2 linked regions of the Rhinolophus ferrumequinum genome follow. The protein of the gene in region 1 interacts with the protein of each later gene in a biochemical or structural test. Links are inferred from orthologs where the notes say so. Each region holds a gene or a part of one and is shown on either strand. Other genes may lie near its edges.

Region 1 (10,960 bases):
CTTGAAGGCCTGGGCCTGCTCAGCTGTGGGTTGGGCCACCTTGAGCACCTTCACAGCCACATCGCCATGCCAACGCCCGCGAAACACGGTGCCAAACGAGCCCGTCCCGATCCTCTTCAGCAGCTGCACCTCACTGGGTGGTACCTCCCAGTAATAGCCCGAGTCCCGGTACCCCAGATTCTTCTGTGGGCCATATGGGCGGCATCTCAGGGGCCTGCCCACTCCCCGTATCACTCAGCCTGTGGTGCCCCCCACAGGTTCTCCCTGGAGCTTACCACTTTCTTCTTGTCATCAGCCATGGACTTCCGCTCCCGCTGTTCTGACGGGGACTTGGAATGTGGGGACTTCCTACCCGAGGACACGCTGGCCGGGCTGGGGCTCCCCCGGGGGGCTCCATCACCACCACCTCTACTGCCAGCAGCTGTGATTGTGGAGAGAATGTCAGTGGACGCAGGTGCAGTGGGGAGGGGGCGCTCAGGATGCAGGCAGTGGGGGCTCACCATCAGTGTTGAAACTCTGGGTACTGAGCTGGAAGAAGAGGGACAGAGTCAGATAGAGGACGCTGAGGCCAACAGGAAAGGTTCTCTCCTCTGCCCAGTGGTCCCGACACTGCCCCCCTCGACACCAACCTGGATGAGGCTAGAGTCCATCGGGGCTGTGGTGCTGACCATATGGACGTTGGGGGTGGACGTGGAGCGGATGCGCTGGAGGGGGGCATTAGCCGGGGTAGAGAAGGGGAAGTGCTCAGCGTCACGGTGCTGGGTGTAGGAGCTGCCAGGGGAAAGGCTGTGGAATCACTGTCAAACGAACAGAAGCAGCCACGCCACCCTCGCCCCGTCCTAAACATGTGTTTAGCTCACAGAGTAAATATCCCGTCATTACTATTATTCATTTGTTCTAGAAACATTTATTGAGTGCCTGCCATGTGACAGATACCATGCTAGGTAGTGGAAATAAAACTGGGGGCAAAACAAATAAAGGTTCTTGCCCTCATGTGGCTGAGTTCCAGAAGGGAGAGAGAGAAATTAAAAAAACAAAATATTTAATCTGTCTGATCGATTCGATAAGGAAAAAATAAATCAAAATGAGGAGACAGAAAGTGTCACTATGATGTCAGGAAAGGCTTCTTTCTCTAAGGAGGTGACATTTGAGCAAAGACCTAAAGAAGGGACAGTGAGCCACACAGTGGGGGAAAGAGTAATATATATCATACTTTATAACAATATGTACTATTCAAATATATTATGTACTATATAATGTATAACATATGCTCTATATTAAAATGGCAATGTTTCAAAATATACATATTATAATGTTATATATGTTATACATACGTGTTCTACATATACATAATGTTACAAAAAGCGTTTTTATTTTAAGGAGGGCCCAGCTCACAGTGGCCCAGGAAGGGATCGAACAGGCCACCGTGGTGTTATTAGCACCACGCTCCAACTGAGCTAACCGGCCACCCACAAAAACATTTCTTAATGTTCCCTTCCACTATTCTCAAATTCATACTTACTTAATTCAATTACACCCCCAATTAAATATAACATAATGCCCTAACTTTACTATTTTATATATTATATAAAAATATATGATGCTCTACATTATATAAAAATATTATAAATATAACACATGATACATTAACATAATATACCGTACAAGTATAAACATTATAAAATACATAATATAGACATAGAAAACACATGTTTTATAAACTTACGATATATTAGAGCAATAATCTTTTTTAACATAGAAATACTATATAGTCTTATAATACTTAACATAAAGAAGAAATAAAAGGGAATTTATGATAAAATATATATATTTCAAAATGGGAAGGCCTGAGCATGATTATACTGGAAGAATTAATAAAGTAGTTAGATGCTTTGATATACATAAACATACATACATATATATTTATAATTAATAAGGAGAACCTTTATACTCTGTATTAGATCTTGTTCTAAGCATCTGATATGTCTTAACTCACTTAAGCCTCACCAGAACCCTATGTGGCAAAAAGTAACATTATCCCCTCTTTACAGATGAGAAAACTGAGGGCCAGAGAGATTAGGTGACTTGCCCAAGGTCCCACAGCTCCATGCCCTTACTCATACTTGTAGGTGTTCAACAAATGTTTGTCAAGTAAATGAATGAATAAAGAATGGCTTGTGGTCTACAGGGGCCTCCAGATCTTTCTCTCCCAGCAGCAGCTCTTCAGCTAAGGCATCCCTACCTGGGACCCTGGGGGGTTAGCGGCTCATTCAGGGGGCGGTTCAAGAGAGTCTCATGCTGTCTGGAGCCTCCGGACAAATCCTGGACACTGTGGTAGAACCTTGAGGACATTAAGGGTATAGAGCAGGGGACAAGGGTGAGCTCTCTGTAAGAACCTTGTGGCTGGGCATCTGTCCTCCCCATCCCCCCATCCACCCCAGGCCAGGCTCACTGTCGGCGGTTGGTACTCATGTCTACACAGACTGTGGGGACCTTGGAGGAACAATGCTGGTGGAACTTGTAGCCACAGGTTTGGCAGCGGAAGCCATGGAAGAGAAACTTAAGGCAGAAGTCACAAAACGCCAGGCTGAAGAACGTCTTCCGTACCTGCTACCACAAAGCAGGGAAGGGTGAGGCCTGGTCAAGGACCCTCCCCCCACGCCCAGGGTCTGCACCCACTATCCCCCCTGCACTCACAAAATTGTGCATGGTCAGTGGGACATCTTCAAGGACCTCCACAATGAGCTCCTCGCCATCCAGGGGGGCAATGGCAGTGTCCCAGGAAGTGACTGTCTTTCGCCTGCAGGAGGTATGAAAGGAGTGAGTGGGAGGGTGGACAGGGCCTCGGGGAGGCAGGGAACCCCTAAAGGTACCTCCAAGTCTGCATCCACGGAGCAATATCTACCATGTTTCATTCCCATCACGGCAACCCTAGGAACTAGTTATTATCCTTACCCCCATTTTACAGATAAGGAAGCTAAGGCTCAGAAGGATAAAGTGACTTGCCCAAAGCCACAAGGGACTATGAGTAGCAGGACAGTGTGAAGAGGCCATGCTCTTAACCACAAGGTGAGAAGCAAATGAGATGGTGACTAAACAACTAAATCTCAGAAGTGCTAAGGAAGCCCCAGAAAAAACAGCCGATGAGGCATTAAAACAACAAATACATAGCAATGTGTGAATTGAATAAAAAAATTAAGGAACCTCAGAACAGAAGAATAAATGGAAGGCCCAACTCAGCAGACAGATAATGGGAAAATGGAGGTAGGACAGAGCCAACAAATTGATGAAAAAGTGAAAGAACAAAAGAGATGAACTCTGGAAGGAGGTGATGGAGCAGGGTGAAGACTTGGGGGTCAAAGAGAGAGTGAGATGTTGACCTGACAGGCCAATGAACTAACGAAGTAACGAAACAAAAGCTGGATGGACTCACAAATTCACTGAACTAAGTAAGGCAAGACTAACGGAGACTCCACAACAGAGTGAAGGAGTCGGATGACGCTGAGGAGGAGTTGGGAGGCTGGGCACCCAGTGGGCAGAGGACGAGGTGTATGCCACACTTACCCCTTGATGAGCCGGTAGACCACGCAGCAATCCTGATTGAGACCCCGCACCTTCAGGGCCTTGTCTAAAGAGTCGTAGACACTCATGCCATCCCGGACAGTCACCTGTGCAGATGTGGGGGATCAGTGCCCAACAGGGGCCCCAACTAACTCTCCCACCCCTCGGCCAAAGCCTCCTCCCAGCCCTAGTTACCCTTTTGACCCAAGATTTACAACTGGGTCCATCCACACCCCTACCAGGTTTGCTCCCTTCAGACTCACTACTGTGCGTTGCTTGTTGGGCAGGTACACTTTGACAGTGCCCACTGCCCGGGACGGCTCGGCCCCGTTGGCAGGGGGGCCCCGTGGTGGCTCCATGGAGCCTAGGACTTTGTCAAGATGGGCTGAGGCGGGGCTGGGCAGGTGCCATGGGGCTCCTAGAAGACAGAGGAGGAATTCAGAGGTCCAGTAATGATAGTCTGGAAGCACAGTGGCAGGAAACAAAAAGAATTTCAACCTCCAGGCTCCACGTCACGCCCAGTAGCCTAATTTCCACACAGCAGCCCAAGGGAGCCTGTTAACACTTTGAAGCCGATCCAGTTCCTCCTCTGCTCAGCCCAGCCAAGATCTCGGATTCACTGCATGGGGCCAGGTGGGGGTGGGACGACACAACGAGAGACAGCACACACTGTCCTGGAGGGAACAGGAGTACAAAAGTCTGTGCTGGGGGCTAATGGGGAAGTCAGCACACGGTGCACTGGGGTGTGTCAGGTACATAATGGACACGAACAGTGTCCCGGCTTTTTAATGGAGAAGGGGGTTACCAGATACTATGCTGAGGGAGGAGTCACAGACAGAGTGAAGGGGAATGAATGGAAGATCATCAGCTATTGCCCTTCGTTTGGGGAAAATGGGAATTGCACCAAAGAGTGTTCTTAAGGGTACTGTGGGCATCCCTACCTAAGCCCTGGCCTGCCATGACGGCAGGCTCACAAACACTGTTAGGTGGCTAATGGGAGTCACCAGACTGTGACGGGAGATCACAAGGCTCAGCAGACATTATGCTGAAGGAAGATGTAATAGAGGTCACTAGAGACTGTAATGGGGAGAAGAATGGATAAGGTGGTCACCGGACACTGTCATGGGGAAAAGGAGGGTAATGGTGAATCATTAGTCATTGTTGAGGTGAGATGAATAGAGGTAAAGCAGGGAGGCTCCAAAATTCTCGCTGACAACTAAGGGGTGACAGACATATTTCTGGTGATAATGGAAGGAGGCTGGTGAGGGTTAAGGAGGAGTAAGGGGGTAATCCTCAAACATTCTCCTAGTGGGTCAGACACTGATCCAGAAGAAGCAAGCGAGTAGTGAGCCGCGTCCCCATGCATTCCCCACTGTTGGTAAAGAAGGGTCATCAGATACCTTAAGAAGGTTTACAGGGGATCTGGGAACAACACACCACAGCCCAGGCCCAATTCAGCCCTGCCCCGCCTACTGAGTGCCTTCCAACTCTGCGCAGGCGTGCTACCACACGCGACGGGCGAAACCATCCCCCCGCAGCCTTGCACCCCTATTCCTGTCTACCCACCACTACCCCCCGCTGTCCGATGGTCTCGCCCCGGGTCAAACCACTCCTCCGGTTCCGGGCAGGGGGCGCCGGGGCCCAGGCGCAGCCACCCTGGAGCTAAGCTTTCGGTCCCGGCTCCTTGCCCATGCCCGGCGGTCGCTCCAGAAACCTAACCCTGCGGGGCCCGCCCTCACCTGTCAAGCTGCAACGGCCGCAGCCGCCTCCATCTTGGGCCTGTCTTCTTGTTTCCTCATAGAGTCCGCCTCCACCGCCCCTCGGACTTTCGCCATTGGCTCCACAGGACTCAGCCCTCTATCCTTATTGGATTAGGGTCACGCCTATCAAGGCAGGATAGGCGGAATGTGGGTCTTGTTCCGGATTAGGAGGGGCTGCTTGAAACGTCTGGGTCTGGGGCAAATTCGCACGTCCTGAGTCGCGCAGGCGCAGTCAAGAGACCTGCGTGCCAGGGGCTTTAACCCAATCGTACCGTGGCAGAATAAAGTGGGGCTTTTTTTCGGTCAGTTGGGTCTGACTTTAGGGCTTCCTGAATCTGGGCGGAGAATCCTTAAATGCCCCTTTTTGTTCCAGTGACCCGGAGGCCTAAGTAGCCGTTTGGGAGTTTCCTGGGTCTCCGTTTTACCGTCTTTGAAATGGGTTGGAATCAGACCAAATATCAGCAACGTTTTCCAATTCTGAAAAACTGAAGTCCTAGCCTTAGATAACAGCGGGTCTCTAGTGTGGCCGGCCTGGGGGTCTGGAACTAGGAAGAGTGGCCTGCTGTTCTGAGAGCTGTCCTTTAGGAATGGGGTTGATAAGGATTTTGTAAGGCTAGTCATAGATGGCCAGGTGAAGAGGGGAGGGAAGTGTGGACCTGGAATGGGGCACAAGTGCAGGGAAATGTATGGAGGAATTGAGGGGTAATTACAATTTTTTAGAAGATGACTTTTACCTGGTGTCAAAAGTGAAAGAGACTTTCCACCCTCCCTTTTCTTAGAGCATTTCCTTTAGAAAACTTGTAAATTTTTTTGTCCCCTCGAGATGTATGTAAATCTTTTTACAAGCTAAATAGGCTTCCTGCCAGTTTTACAACCCAAGGATGTTGTTCTTAGGGGCCTTGGAGTCATCTCTTTGAAATGCAAACATCAACAAAGATAGCGCCCCTTCTCCGTCAGGTAGGAATTTGACCTAGGCGTCTGGCGCCAAGTTGTTAGCTGCTTGTCAAAGAGATAGGTGTTTTATTTTTTTTCTTTGGATAAAGACAGATGGCTACCCCAGTTACCAGGTGAATTTGAGATGAACTGTGTAGCAAAAGGTACTGTCAAGTTCTCTTACTTAAGGACAAGTTATTGCCTTTCTTGAGAACAAGTATGTAATGGCTTGTATCTCCCCAGCCATTTAAAGGATGAGGTTTTACTGTCCTTGCAATCTCTTTAGCGAATTGCTTGTGATGCACATTGCAGTCTGGTTTAACACTTTTTGATAATACAGTGCTACCTCGGTTTTCTAATGTAATCCGTTCTGGAAGACCCTTCGAGTTCTGAAACGTTCGTAAAGAGCCGACAGCGAGGTGTCGGGATCCTGCACTCAGAGGAAGCCGCGTGACATGTTTGATGTGTTCGAAAACCGAAGCATTTACTTCCGGGTTTATGGCATTTGTAAATCGAAATGTTCGTCAACAGAGACGTTTGAAAACCGAGGTACTACTGTATAACTATTTAATTCTTTTCTACCTCTGTGGGGAGGATTCACCGGTTGGCACGAGATTTCACTTTTAATTTTTTGAACAGCCTGTTGTTTGAAGTGACTACATTCTCCTGTTTGGAGCCTCAGCATCCCTCTGATGAAGTGGGAAGGATCAGAGAAAGGTCATTAGGTGAGGGGGCCTCAACATACTTCAACTTGTATTTATTAAGTGCTTTCTCTGCCTATAAGGAGAGAGACAAAAGTTCTGCTTACTAGGCTGTCATATAACCTCTATTTCCCATCGTTTCTTTTCTATTAGGATCTTCACCATTCAATGGCTAAAATGAAAAAGACGGAATAAATACCGCATATTTATGAGAATGTGGAGCAATAGGAACTTTCATGCATTGCCATTGGGAGTGTAGAATGGTACAACCACTTTGGAAACAGTTTGGCATCTTCATGTAAAGTTAGACATATACATACCATGCAATCTAGCAGTCTCATTTCTCAGTATTTACTCCAGAGAAATGAAAACATGTCCAATGGCGTGCTCATAACTGTTTAACAACCAGCTGTCCAGGAAAAAAGCTCTAATTTGTAGTGTTTGCCAACTAAGACATAAACACTCCCACCATGGCTTATTTCAAGCTACTAATATGACACCATTGAACCAGAGTTGAGATTTGCAAAATTGGCTCTGGTGAGCCAGCCACAGCATGCTACTGCAATGTACCCACACAAAAATTTATACTCCAATATTCATATTAGCTTTATTCATAATAGCAAAAAAAAAAACTGCAAACAGACCAGGTGTCCAGCAACAAAAGAATTGACCAAGAAACACAAAAATGGGATCCTGGAATACTACTGTTAACCTAAAATTAGAAGGCCAAAGTGAGAGGCAATGAGCATTTATTTGAGATCCAAAGAAGAGCTATTTGGAAAGCACTGATTCAGGCAGAAACCCAAATAGTGTTCCCATTAGGAGGCAAGGCAAGAAGTATTTATGAGAAAGCGATGGGGAACAATTACATCAATAGAAGGAAGGCATTTCTGTAAGTGAGAATAAGCTAACAGTGATGCTAGTGCTAAAGAATGTTTTGAACTTTTCAGTCCATTAGTCATATTATCTGCTTTCTTGTTATCTTTGCAAACAGTTTTTTGGGGATTCCATGCTGCTTTAGGTCCAGTCCAAAGGTTATTTTGCCCAGTTTATGCATCCCATAGGTTTGAGGCGGAAGATGTGCAAGGCAGTTCCTCTGGGATAGCAGCTCTGACTCCATTTTAAAGTGGCTCCATTTATATTACTTTTCACACTACTCAGCAATGAAAGGCAACAAACTACTTCATGTGTCTATCTTACAGACATAAGATCGAGTGAAAGAAGCCAGACACAAAAGATAAATACTGTATTATTCCATCTGTATGAACATCTAAGCCAGGCAAAATTAATCTATAGTGAAGGAAAGCAGAGTAGTTGTCTTGTGGGAGAATGACTGAGAAGGGCATGAAGGAACTTTTGGAGGTGACTGGACAGTTCAGTATTCATTTATCAAAATTCATCAAACTCTATACTGAAAATGGGTACACTTTATTGTATGTAAAATATACCTCAATTTAAAAGAGCATGGCAAAAAAGGGGGCTTCAAACATAATTTTAAACATGTTGAATTCTTACAAATTCTTAGTGATTAGAGTTGTTTTTTTTTTAATTCTCTTTTCTGATTCGAAGCCCTAGAGCCGGCATCCCCATCTCCCAGTGGTGCAGCCCTGGCACCACATGGGGTCAGAAACAACTCCTGTTGGAGCTCAGTGAGGGGCTCCAAAACGCTCTCCAAAAGGAAGAATAATGTCAGGGGTGGGGAGTGCATTTTAAATTTCATTTCATTTGAATATTATTTAATTTATTTTAGAACTTTAATTTCTAGGCAGTATTTGAAGACAGACTTCTGGCTCCGTTGCACAACATTTACAAAAAGGTAAGCAAAATTCGACATGCTGTGCCAGAAAGGAGGGATGGAGGATGGAAGAGGGTCATGGCTCACTCAAGGACAAAGCTTTCTCCCTTAGGGACTCACTCCAAACCCATCCCAACTGGCACGACTTCAGCCAAGTACTTCACAGGTACTTAACAAGTCATGAAGGCCTTTAAAGTGACTTGGGTTTTTATCATCATCATCATCATCACATTAAAAACCATCAAGCGCACCATATATTAAAACAAAAATTAAAACCTGAACTAGCTGATTGTTTTTTCTGACATTCCCCTCGAAATTATCCACCTAGAAATTTTAAAAGATTTTAAAATGGTTGTTGGTTTTTATAATTGTTGATTTTCAATTCTTTGAAATATGTCTGAAAAACATACAAAATCTGAAGTGTTCACCAACCACTGTTGTAACCCTACCCATTTCACAGTTGATCCAATTGAGGTTCAGGCTGCCCTAACCGGAAGGACAGAGGAGAGAGAACTCCAGCATTTCAAGTTTGGTAAAAAGTGTTTGAACAAGGGTGTAGGCCAGGGGCACGCCCCTCTGTAAGGAATCTTGGCTCCGCCCCAGCAGTCCAGCGTGCCTGAGGCTCTCTAAACCAGCCACTCCCATTTCCCAACTTCACCACCCTCGCTCTCCCTGCCGCCGCCTGCAGAACGCCACGTCCGACAGCCCATCGCACAGCCTCCCGCTCCGCTAGCTACCCGTGTCGGGAGAGATGACCACGCACAGACCGAGACAAAACTGAGTGCCTCACTGGCCCAACTGAGAAGCCTCAACTATCCGCTCCGCTAGGCCCCCGCTGCGGTTTGGAGTGAGACATTCAGTGTTCCAGGCCCCGGACAGGCAGCGAGGTCACCCAATAGCGATGCAGTGGAGGGCGGGCTTTGGGATGCCACGGGCATTGATAGGCTCTACTTCACCCTAGCATTTAGAACGAGAAGAGACTGGACTTTGAGACTCCGAGGAGCCACTGGCAGACCAATAGCTACGCAGAGGACGTGGGCTCTGGGCCGTCCCAGCCAATGGGAGTAATTGTCCATCTAAAGCAGAGTATGGAAGTTTCCACTTTTGAATATTCCTTGAAGAGATTTTTAATACACAATCCTGGGGTCAAAATGTGGGAAATTTACAAGTGAACCTAAACATTCCTTTTAACAGTCCTTATTAAAAAGTCTTTCCTAACAAAATGCATTGAGCAGTAATTTGAATTTGTGATCACTGCGATCCAAATTGGTGCAAGTCACACTATTAAACCACAGACAGGGTTCTTTTGTTTTCGATTAATTTTTTAACAGTTCATTATACGATATATATGGTATTCCCATGTGTTCATAAAATTAAACAAGTGTGCAGGTTTGTATATTTTCAATTTCCAAACCCAAGGATCAAATGAATAGAAAAAATAATCGTCAGTTACCTCTCAATAAAGGTGGGGAGGGGAAGAAAAACTAATAATTAAACCAAATAACAGTCCTGTAATTTTTTTTATTAAAGATTTACTCTGATGAGGAAATTCTTTGGTGAGTATGATTATTTCTTATAAATAAAACAAGGCTCAAGTATGAAAATATTTAATAGTCAAGCAAAAGGATCAATATAAACCTACAAACTGAGCAGTGACACCCCCTTTGAGATGCAATGGACAGTGGCAAACACCACTGGTCCTCCCAGGTAGCTCTTTTGGTAGGGATAATAATCTGATATGGTCCTTGGTAATTTTTTAAGTTTTTAATTAATTAAACTGACAGCATTTACCCAAAGGAAGTGATTCTGAAATGTCTACTTTCGGTTTTCATCAGAAATGCATTTGGTACAAATTTTCTCAGAGTTAACATATTTATTCCAAGCACATATAGACTGATCCACAGTCCCATCAAAGGTGAAAAACAAAAGTTTAATATCTGTTGGCTTACCTCACACATATTTGGTAAATCTCTATTCAATTTATAAAACCACTGTAAATGAGATGTCAGACAAATGTACTCCAAGTAAATTTTCATTATTTCTGGATAAATGACCCACATGTGATCTTTATATCATTCTTGACACAATGCACATGTTATATATAATCCTTTGTATATATAAAATAATTCCTTATATATAAAATAATTCCTTATAGTTTTTTTTCACTTTATATATGTTTATTTGTATTTTTAAAAAGCATAATGGGCCCC
Region 2 (11,784 bases), on another chromosome or scaffold:
ATAATATGATAATTATATATCAAGAGACTTATGCCATATTTACATATGTCAGTAAATATTTATTTTAAGAAATTGGCTCATATGATTGTGGGGCTGGCAAGTCAGAAATCTGCAGGGCAGGTAGCAGGCTGGAAAGTCAGGTAGGAGCTCATGCTGCCAGCTTGAGGCAGAATTACTTCCTCTCTGGGAAACCTCAGTGTTTGCTGGGAAGGTCCTTCAACTGATTGGGTGCGGCCCACCCACACAATTGAGGGTAATCTTTTTGACTTAAAGTCAACTGATTGTAGAGATTAACCACATCTATAAAACACCTCCAGTCATAACAACTGTACATTTATGTTTGATGAAGTCACTGGGTACTAGAGCCCAGCCAAACAGACACACAAAACCAACCATCACATCAATAAGCTGTGTGCAGAACTGGCACGTCACGTCCAGGGTGTGCATCTAATTGTCAGTGCACAACCCTCCAGAGATCTTTCTTTCCCCCTGCTCAGTGACCAGCAGTGTTCAAGATGGTGGCTGCAGCGTCAGCCTGGATCCTGGATTGAGGTGACATGAAAGAGATCTGCCAAACAATCTTCAAGTGGGAGCCAGAAATACATCTTGGGTTTAGGAGCATTTTGTGAAGCTAAACTAAGTTTAAAGAAATTGGGTCCCTCTGCTTCACTGTGCGTTGTACGTCCCTGACAACCTGGATCGCTGCTTCTTGAGCATCTCCCAGAGACATCCCAGATCCTCTCCACTCCTCACAGGCAAGGTTATGGAAAGACTCCGTGTGTTGTTACCAGGATAAAATGATAACACACACCAACCTGTGATGTTTAACCTTGATCCGTGCCGAGAAAGGAAGTCGCCTGCTGACGTGGTTCTCAAAATTGCTGACGGTTAGTCCTCATAATGATCCCCTTCTGAGGCATGGGGGACAAATAAGTAGAACCTAGGTTCAACTAGGGAAGTGCTTCTGCACATGATGCCTGGGTCTCACGATTGACTCTTCCTTAAAAATGTGCTGACTTTGGATGAGATAGTTAACTGGCAAGACAACTGTCTCCTCCAAACCATGGCTGGCAGCACCCCGGAGAATCCCCTTGTCCACTTCCAAGGGAAGTGACAAAGCTCATCCTAAAGAGAGAGCCCTCTGCAGTGCTCTCAAGGCCCCTGGGGACTAGCCTGCCATCCACTCATCCATCCATCCATCCATTTACTCCTCCTTCCTTCCTTCCTCCCTCCCTTCTCCCTCCCTCCCTCCCTCCTTCCTTCTTTCCTTCCTTTCTTCCTTCCACCCATCTACCAAACAAATGATTGAGTCCCTACTGTGTGCAGGCACAGGGGCTCCAGCCTTACTTAAATAGACACAGACCCTGCCTCATAGACATAGTTGGGAAGACAGACAATCATCATGTAATTACACAAATAATTTTAAGTGTGATGCATGCTAAGAACGAAAAGGATGGGGCACTATTTACAATTAATTTGAGAGAAGATTATGGGAACTGGGCCTAGTTTGGTGGGGTATGGTGGGGAAGTTTGGGGTAAGAAAAGACTTCCTGAGAAAGTATTTGAACTTAGCTCTAGTGGGTGAAAGCCTGGGAGATAATTGAGGGCAGGCCCTTTTCTGGGCTGAGGGACTAGCTGGAGCCACGGCCTTGGGGCAGGAGCAGCCTTTGCCCTGACGGTGACTGGGTTACAGACTCTTCAGATGGGTGGGCCGGTGGGGAGGCAGCAGGAGGAGGGTGGTGACCCTGTTCTTAGTCATGCAAAGGGGCTGCGCAGGGGGAGACCCAGGATGCTATGCAGACAGCACAGGCTGCCGAGTGAGGTCCAGATACTGGGATTCAAATTCTGGTTTGGCCGCTTCTTCAGTGTATGATTTGGGGCGAGAGACTACATTGCCGAATAGCAGCTTCAATGTACTATGAAGACAATAATGGTGATAATGATTAACATTGATTGAGGCCTTACTCTGTGCCATTCTGCTTAGGATTTTACCTATGTCATCTCATTTAATCTTCAGTGATTTCAACCTGGTTTACTACTGTAGTGCTACCATTACTGTTCCCGCTTCACAGATGAGGAAGAGGGAGGCACAGCAAAATGAAGTAATTTGCCCAAGATCACACAACCAGCGGAGGAAGAGCCAGGATTCGAATGCAGACGGATGGGCCCCAGAGCCCCTGCTTTTAACTGTTAGAGAACACATTACCACATGGAGGTCGTATCGTAAGGATAAATTAGGTTATGGGACAGTAACAAACAACCCCAGAATCTTCTTACTAGGATGCAGTAACAAACAAGTTTAGCAAGCTGGGCTGTTTACATAGAAGGTATATTTTTAATTTCTATAACTTTAGACTTTTCAGAAGATATATTTATGTTAATGATATCAAATTTAATTGCAACATGGTCAGAGAATGTAGTCTGTATGATACCAATCGTTTAAAATGTGTTGGAACTTGCTTTATGGTCAAGTATGTGGTCGATTTTTGAAAATGTTCATTGTAGTTGAACAGAGTGTGTATTCTCTAATTATTGGGTTCACTATCAACATATATTTATTACGTCACACTTGTTAATTGTTGCTGTAGAATAAGTATATTTAACCCTCACCCCAGCAATGATGGTAGATTCTTTAGTTTCTCCTTGAGGTTTTGTCGATTTTTTTTGCTGTAAATATTGGAGGCTATATTATTAGCTGCATGCAAGTATGGAATTGTTAGGTCCTACTAGTGAATTAAAGTTTCTGTTATACGAAAGGGCTCTCTTTACCATTAGTCATGCTTCAGACTTAAAATCTCTTTTGTCTCCTATTCGTATAGATATGCCAGACTTCTTTTGGTTGCTATCTGCTGGTAAACCTTTCTCCATTCTTTAACTTTGATCTTTTCTGGGTCCTTTATAAGCATGTAGCTGGACCTTATTTTTATTTTATCCAATCTGATAGTCTTTGATTTTTAATTATTTTAGTCTATTTACATTTAATTTGATGAATCACATCTTTGAATTTATTTCCACCTTCTCATTTTGCTCTTTGCCCTGTTTTTATTTTTGTTTTTTCTTCATTTTTTGCATTCTTTTGTATTGATTGATTTTTGTTTCCTCATTCCATTTCCCCCTCTGCTAGTGTGGAATTCATGCACTCTGTTTCTCTTCTTTCTGTGTTTACCCACACATTTTAATATGAATATTTAAGTCTACAAAGTTTAACATTAATCAAAATATTCTCTCAAACCATTGAAAGATCTTAGAACACTTTCATTATGATTGCCTCCTCCCTACATCTACGCCATTAGTGTCCGGTATTTTAGTTTTATTTTTTCCTCAACTCCACAAGTTAAAATTATTATTGCTGTTTAATGGAGTCAAAGATAAAAGTTACCTATATGTTCACAAAGTGTCTACCGATCTTTTTTGTATCGCAGACCTTAATTTTGAGACTATTTTTCCTTCTTCATGAAGCACCTTGTGTTAGATTACTAAGGCTGACAAGATGAGCCTTAGATTGCTAAGACATAACCCAGTACCACCGTCTGGGTGACTTAGTAACAGAGATTTATCTTCTCACAATTCTGGAACCTGGGAGTCCAAGAGCGAGGTGTCGGCACTGTTAGTTTCTTCGGCAGCCCGTCTCCTAAGTTTGGGAGTGACTGCCCTCTCCCTGTGTCATCACGTGGTGGACTTTCTGCCCACGTGTGTCTCTAAATTTCCTTTTCTTACCAGTCATATTGGATCAACGCCCTCCTTATGACTTCACTGTATCTTAATTACCTCTTTAAAGCCCTGTCTCCAAATATAGTGACATTCTGAGGTGCTGAGGTTAGGGTTTCAACATAGGGATTTCGGGAAGGAGACACAATTCAGCCCATAACACACGATGTATAAAATAATCTTCTGTTTGAAATGTCCTCATTTTCTTGAAAGATATTTTTACAGAGTTTACAATTATTGATTAATAGTTATTTTCTCTTAATGCGCATAAGATACCATTTCCCATGTGGTTCCCACTTTTGTTGTTGAGATATCAGCTCTGAGTTTGTGTGTTTCCTCTGAAGATTACATGAGTTAATAGAGGCAACGTGCTTAGCGTGGGCCTGGCATCTAGTGACTATTATATAAATAATAGCTATCACTATTTTCTCTCTGACTGCTTTTGAGATCTTCTCTTTATCTTTGATGCCCTTCAATTTCACTATGGTAATCTTTGTCTGTATTTCTTTATATTTATCAAGCTAAGCATTTTGTGCCATGTGTCAATTTAAAATTCTCAGCCATTATCACTTCAAATATTGCCTCTTCCTCATTCTCTGGAATCCCTTCTAGAACTCTGGTTAAATATGTTAGATATTCTTCCTCTGTCTTTCCTGTCACTTATCCTCCGTATTTTTGTCTGTGTTGGATTCAGGGCAATTTTTTTTCAGATATTCCAGTTTATTCTCTTCATCTGTGTCTTAATCTGCAACTTAACATATCTATTAAGTTTCTGTTTCAATTATTATATTTTTCATTTTAGATGTATTATTTGGTTCTTTTTACTTCTGCTTAAAGTATTTTGTGAAACACCTTTACTTAATTTTTTTTAATTGCACAAAGGGCTAACTGATCCACTGCTGAATTCCACATCCCCCTCTTTATTTGTTCAAAATTCCTATTTTCTGTCTAAGAAACATTGCTTTCTGAGGCCTCTTGACTTTCTCTTCACTTTGATCATAAAGCTAGTGTTTGGCTTTTTTGGAAGTCCATTTTCATAAAGAAACAAGACTTTCTTTTTCATCATTTTGAAGGATGACAAAGGACTAGGTGATGTGTTGACTCATAAGGGACACAAATTCATGCCTCAGTAATTGACGGATGCCACATGCCATGGTCTCAGAAGGTCCTCAGGGAGTTTAGATCTCTCAGTTAAAACACTGAGTACCACAGTTCTCTGGCAGAAACTAGGGATCCAAGAGTCTGCACTCTGCCCAGCTACTTGAGCGGTCTGGTTCCCTAACTAATGTGTGAGTTTCTTGATGCAAAGGCTGTATCTTTTCTGTCTTCCGATTCTTCTCCAGAAGTCTTCAGTGCCTGGTGTGTTCATGATGATGCAAAAATTATTTGTAGAACTGAGTGAAATACATGCACTAATTTTTTCTAGTGCATATATCCCTCAGCAGTTGGGGCAAAGGGATAGTGTGAGAGAGAGTAGGCTCTAGTCAGCCCTTGTGTGGGAGTCATTTGTTTGTAGGATACTCTTTACACAGCTGTACATGGTGACGAGGTTTGGGACAGGATGATCTTTAAGACCTGTTATAATTCAACAAGGTGGCCACTGACTAGACTGAGGTGGTTCTAACGCCGTGGTGCCCTGTGTAAGAAAACCAGACTCTAAGCCTGTAAATGCCTCCAGGTGACAAAATCAAAATGCTAAGGACAACCAGTCACAAACAGCCGACTAGTTTTTAAGCTGTAGCCAATCAAATACTGTCCTTTCTTTGCTTCCGCACTTTCGCTATGTCAGTCTTTCCCCTGGCTCTTGTCCTTTGGCCATGCCCAGCTGGAATCGATTTTTCCTCAAGCTCTTAAAATTCTTAATATGCCTCAGTTTCTCTTTTAACAGACCATAGTTCCCACATCTGGCCAATCACCTGTAGATTAAGAGATACCTGAGTTTCTTCCAGCAGCTTCTGACTCAACACTAAGACTCTGTAATGAGATCAGCCAACACTTAGCAGGAACTTAGACACCACGTGAAGGGTTTTACCAGTTCATGTTTTCAGTTTATAGCTTCACAGCCGTATGAGATAGTAGCTATTACCGCCCCATTTTACAGAAGAGGAAAATGAAGCTAAAATCCGGTGTGGGGACAAAGGGGGAGCTGCCTAAAAGGTCATTCAACTAGTCAACTAGTAAGGGGTCGAGTGCAGATTCCAACTCTCAGACTCGGCAACTCCAAACCACACTCTCGATCACTGTGCTACAAAAAGCTTTTTCTGGGGGCTGCTGGTGATTCTGCTGATTAGCCAGCTTTGAGAAAAGTCTCCTAGAGGCCTATGCCGCTCTCAAAGGGTGCATTTGTCCGAAATGTATGGCCCATTCCCCTCCCCCCACATCCCCCGGTGTTTCTGGAAGAATAATAGTTTAAGAACAGCTTTCTCTGTAAACATAAGACGAGCAGTTGGACCTCTTATCGGCATACCCTAGCTTTGGGGCAACGCGGAGAGCATTCTGCAAACCTGGTCTCACAGGTTGAGCTAACCTGAAAACCCAGGGGAACTCTTTCTGTACACCTGGCACTTCTGGTCCCGCCCCGTTTCGCAAAACTCCCCAATCCCAAGCCCATTCGCCGTGATTGACGTGACCTCAGAGCAATTACAATTGGTCAAAGCGGGCGTCCGCTCCGCCTTTCCGATGACCCCGCCTCCCTTTCATTCTGAAAGAAAGGACCTCGGCCTGGGTGTCCAATGGGAAGCGCCCCCACCCCAAAGATCCCGCCTCTTTCGGCGCCGATCCCGCCCCGAGGGCCGGAGGGATGCCCGCCTCTCGGCGTGACATGGCCCAATCGGAAGGCGCGTTCGTCCGTCTGGGCGGCAGCCTGCCCAATCCTCGGGCCCCGAGTAGCGCCGCCCCGCCCCTCCGCCGGGGCCAAGCGGCGGGCGAGAGCGGGCCTCGGGGCGGCGGCGGCGGACGCGGCCTGAGGGAGCGGCCGGCTGCGGCGCGGGGCTCGCCTCGCCCGCGGCGGGATCCATGGCCTGAGCGGCCATGTCCGGCGTCGTGCGGACCCTCAGCCGCTGCCTGCTGCCGGCCGAGGCCGGCGGGGCCCGCGAGCGCAGAGCGGGCGGCGGCGGGGCCCGCGACGCGGAGCGTGAGGCGCGACGGCGCAGCCGGGACATCGACGCCGGGCTGGCTCGCGAGCGGCGCGCCGTGCGGCGCCTCGTCAAGATCCTACTGTTGGGCGCGGGCGAGAGCGGCAAGTCCACCTTCCTCAAGCAGATGCGCATCATCCACGGTCGCGAGTTCGACCAGAAGGCGCTGCTCGAGTTCCGCGACACCATCTTCGACAACATCCTCAAGGTGCGTGTGTCCCCGCGTCCCCGCCCGCACACCTGCGCCCAGGTGCGCGCAAGTGGCGCCCAGGTTTGCGCAGATGCGGCCCGGCGGACCACCGCGCCCGGGCCGGGACGACGGCCCAGCCCTTTGTCTGGCCCCCGGGCTGGGAGCAGCGCCGGCCGTCCAGGTGCCCCCAGCTTTGGGGAGCTGGCCAAGGTTGCGCACCCTGTGTCCCTGTCGGCTTGATGGCTTCGCTTCTGCCCTTCTAGGGCACTTGGGGACCGTGGAAGTGGAAAGGCTGGCCAACTTCAGGGGATTTGGAGGGACGGGAAGGGGGTGTCGGAAGTGGGGAGGGCCCCTCCTGGACTCCCTGACGAGGTCGCGCCCCTGCAGAACGGCATCTGCGCGTTCCCGTTTCCATCCCGCTTGCCCTGCCCTCCCAGTAGGTTCAGAGGAGCAGTGTAAACGAGAGGAAACTGGCCCCAAGTCTCCCCCTTTTAACTGCTCCTCAGGAAAATCTCAAACATGTACAAAGTAGAAGAGTACAGCGAACTGGACGTCCCCGCGCCGCCCCGCAACTTCAACAGTGATCGACTCAGTGCCAGTCTGGTTTCACCCATACTCCTGCCCCTGTGATTTTGAAGCAAATCGCGGACAGGGTATAATTACATTAGAAAACATTTGCACAAAGATGAGGCCTCTTTCAAAACACATAACCGCAGTACCGATGTCAAACCTGACAGTATAATTCCTTAATATCAGATATCCAGCCAGTGTTCTGATTTCCTTTATTGCGCATAATTGTTTTGTTTGTATCAAGGTACAAATTAAATCTATATCTCTTAAGTGCTGTATAACCTCCAGGTTCTCCTTCTGTCTCTTGCTCGGTTTTTATTCTTTGCAATTTATTTGTGAAAGAAACCTGTAGAGTTGACAGAAAGTCTGGGTTCTGATTTCTCTACTGTGAGCCTCTGGTAAAGGTCCCTGAAAAAAGGGAATCTGGAGAAAACGAATGATGGGAAAGTAGTGTTTCTGCTGCGCCTAGACACGGTCATTTCCATTTTTCTTTTTTTGTTTCTCATCACCCTTTCCTTGCCCCCTCACCTAACTTTCCCAGGCCAATTTTGGGGAAACCAAATTACAGGTATGAGGAAATTGTCTCAAAGCAGGGGTAAGAGGGAAGCTTGTCATACCAGAAAGCTGCCTGGAGACTAGATTTTATAGTGCCTGAGGGACTTTAAATTTAGCAAAGGCGGTAGAACCCATCTGGCACATTTTTCTTTCACTTCACCCACGAGGAAGCTTCCTGCCTTGGAGATGAAGAGGCGCCTCCCTGGGACCTGGATGCTGGGACTCTGGGCTCCAGACTTGCAGCCTTCCTTTTCCAGGACAGCGTCGGCAGCCTCATACCAGTATTCCCACGTTATGTATCTGTTGTTAAAATATTTCATTATAATAGAAATAGCTCTTTTAAGGATCATGACAGGAAGAGAATAATTTGAACGATGATAAAACACCGTTTTTCTTTTCACCTCTTCCAAAAGTCTCTCTGAGTCAGAGCTCCGGTCCAGTACTTCATCTTTAAAGGCTGGGTGCCCGGGGTGATGCAGGGGAAAGACTGTGTTTAAAATTCCCCTCATCATCTGGGGCAAAGTGCATTTGGTTGTCTTGCTCTGTCGCTGAGCCGGGTTTTATTTTTGCTGCCTTTCTGGACCTCCAAACCGGGCATGTATAAGAGCATAAAGATTTGGCTGATTGTCTCCTAGTTTCTTAAAATTCAGGAACTAAATCTAAAAATATTTAGAAACATAGAATCTTAAATCTAAATCAGTGTATAAGTGTGTTTCAGAAAACTCAGTCTTAACCTTTTCCGGATGCCTACAAACATTAGCTTTTACTGACTTCCTTATCAACAGAAACCATTTGTTAAACAGTATCCTATTTTCCCTCCCGCCTTTTTTATTAAATTGTAGTTCCATATTAAGCTCACTTTATTTGTTGTGACTATGTCAATAACCAGTTAGATTTAGCTTTCAATCTAAAATCAAAAATTACCCTCCCCCATCTTTGTTTGGACAGATCACTTTGGGAAGAGACTTCCTAATAAATTGCTTTGTGGTGGTTTTAATAGTGGACATTTGAATGATACTGTTCAGAATAATGCTTGTGTTTAAACAAGGATTTAGTGTTGAGCTAATTGTACAGTTCTATGCACTTGTAAGAAGTAATACAGAGATCCTATGTCCCTTCTACCCAGTTACCCTCCATAGTAGTATTTTGCAAAACTGTTGTACAATGTTATAGCCAGGATATTTACATGGCAAAAGATACAGAACATTCCCATCACCATAAGGACGCCTCCTGCTTCCTTTTATAGCCACTCCCTCCCCTCTCCTCCTCTCTCACCCTGGCAATGACCCGTCTATTCTCCAGCTCTGTAATTTTATCATTTCAAGAGTGTAAGTGGATTTACCACAGTGCACCATTTCACCATTTACAGGTTGGAGGATATCTGGGTTTTTTTCCAGTTTCTGCCTATTATGAATAAATCTTCTATGAACATTTTTGTTTGTACATAAATATTCATGTATCTGGGGTAAAATTGCTCAGTTGTATGGTAGTTGTGTGTTTAGTTTTATAAGAAGCTGCCAAACTGTTTCCAAAGTGGTTACACCATTTTCCATTCTCACCAGCAGTGTAGGAGTTATCCAGTTTCCCCACATTCTGGCCAGCATTTGGTGTAGTCACTGTTTTCTTTCAACCATTCTGATAGGTGTGTAAGTGCTATCTTATTGCCATTTTAATTTACATTTCCCTCATGGCTAATGGTGTTGAACATCTTTTCATGTGCTTATTTGCCATCTGTACATCCTCTTTGGTGAAATGGCTCTTCATTTTTTTACCTGTTCTCTGATTAGGTTGCTCGTTTTTTGTTGTTGAATTTTAAGAATTCTTTATATATCATAGATACTAGTCCTTTGTCAAATATATGGTTTGCAGATATTTTCTTCCACTATGTAGTTCTGTACCTTTTCTTTTCATCTGTTTGTCTTTCACAGGGCAAAGTTTTTAATTTTGATGTACAGTTTATCAATTTTTTTCCTTTATGGATTATACTGTCGATGACAAGTCTAAGAACTCTTTGGCTAGCTCTAGATCCCAAAGATTTTTCTCCTATTTTTTTTCCTAAAAGTTTTACAGTTTAAATTTAAATCCGTGATCCATTCGAGTTAATTTTTGTATAAGGTCAAGGATTTTTTTTGTTTTTTTGTTTTTTTTTGCCTGTGGATATCCATTTGTCCCAGCAACATCTGTTGAAGACTTTCTTCCACTGAATTGCTTTTGCACTTTTGTCAAAAATCAGTGGGAGTCTATTTCTGGGTTCTCTATTCCATTCCACCAATCTGTATGTCTCTCCTGCCAGTACACTGTTTGTTGATTGATTACTGTAGCCACATAGTAGGCCTTAATATCAGATGATGATTTCTCCCATTTTTTTGTTTTTCAAGATTGCTTATCTATTCTAGGGCCTTTGCCTTTCCACTAAATTTTAGAATACGTTTGTCTATGTCTATAAAAAACTTTGCTTGGATTAAACCTGTAGATCAGTTTGGGGAGAATTGACATGTCTCCTGTGGTGTCTCCCAATCCATGAATATGGTATGCCTTTGTTTATTTAGGTCATCTTTGATTTTTTTTGCTCATCATTTTGTGATTATCAGCATATAGATCCTGTATGTGCTTTGTGATATTCATATTAAAGTATTTTGTTTTCTTTGGAGCAATTTTAAATAATATTGTGCTTTTATTTTCAGTTTCCAAATGCTCATTGTTAATATACAACAATGTGATTGATATTTGTGTCTCTATCTTGTGTCCTGTGACCTTGCTAAATATACTTATTGATTCTCAGGCTTTCCTGTACGTTCTTTGGAATGTTCTACATACATCATCATGTTATCTGCAAATAGGGACAGCTTTATTTTTTTCTTTCCAAATAAGTATGCCTTTTATTTCTTTTTCTTGCCTCACTGCAGCAGTATTATGTTGAATTAGAGTGGTGAGAGTAGTCATATCTTCTGTTTCTTTCCTGATATTGGTGATTTGTGTCTTCTTTTTATTTTTATCAGTCTTCCTTGAGGTTTATTAGAGTTCTTTTCTTTCCCCCCTGAAGAACCAGCTTTTTGTTTCACTGATTTTTCTTTATGGTTTTTCTGTTTTCAGTTGCATTTTTTTTCTCTTTATTATTTCCTTCCTTCTACTTCCTTTGGATTTATTTTGCTCTTTTTTCCTAGTTTCCTGAAATAGAGACTTAGATTATTTACTTATTATTTATTTATTATTCCAACGTAAGCATTTAAAGTGCTCTAAGTTTCCTCCTTAGCACTGCTTTAGCTGTGTCCACATATTCTGATATGTTGTATTTTCATTTTTATTTAGTTTCACATGCATTTTTGTTTCTTTTGAAATGTCTTCTTTGCCCCATGGATTATTTAGAAGTGTGTTGTAGTTTCTAAGTGTTTAGAGATTTTCCTATTATCTTTCTGTTATTGATATCTATGATTCCATTATTGTAAGAGAGCATACTTTGTATGATTTCAATTCTTTTAAATTTGTTGAGGTTTGTTTTCTGGCCCAGAAATGGTATATCTTGGTATATATTCTGTGGGCCTGTGGTGGTAAATGTTCTATGGACACGTGAAAACAATGTTCTGATATTTGGGGAAATGGATCCTGTTGTTTGGCAGTGGTGTCGTG

What was found.
Region 2: the proteins of ARAF (region 1) and GNA12 form a complex in vitro, tested with the Homo sapiens proteins (2 studies listed by BioGRID). The link is inferred for Rhinolophus ferrumequinum from reciprocal best matches to the Homo sapiens genes ARAF and GNA12.

Annotation. Positions count from the first base shown.
Region 1 is NC_046284.1:86,425,223-86,436,182, forward strand, and holds the start of ARAF (serine/threonine-protein kinase A-Raf), read right to left. Parts: upstream 5,393-10,960; 5' UTR 5,301-5,392; intron 3,980-5,300; 5' UTR 3,921-3,979; coding exon 3,825-3,920; intron 3,669-3,824; coding exon 3,565-3,668; intron 2,801-3,564; coding exon 2,698-2,800; intron 2,608-2,697; coding exon 2,453-2,607; intron 2,342-2,452; coding exon 2,243-2,341; intron 772-2,242; coding exon 630-771; intron 529-629; coding exon 501-528; intron 422-500; coding exon 276-421; intron 184-275; coding exon 1-183. UniProt on the Homo sapiens protein: Involved in the transduction of mitogenic signals from the cell membrane to the nucleus. May also regulate the TOR signaling cascade. Phosphorylates PFKFB2.
Region 2 is NC_046307.1:43,054,446-43,066,229, forward strand, and holds the start of GNA12 (guanine nucleotide-binding protein subunit alpha-12), read left to right. Parts: upstream 1-6,675; 5' UTR 6,676-6,738; coding exon 6,739-7,050; intron 7,051-11,784. UniProt on the Homo sapiens protein: Guanine nucleotide-binding proteins (G proteins) are involved as modulators or transducers in various transmembrane signaling systems. Activates effector molecule RhoA by binding and activating RhoGEFs (ARHGEF12/LARG).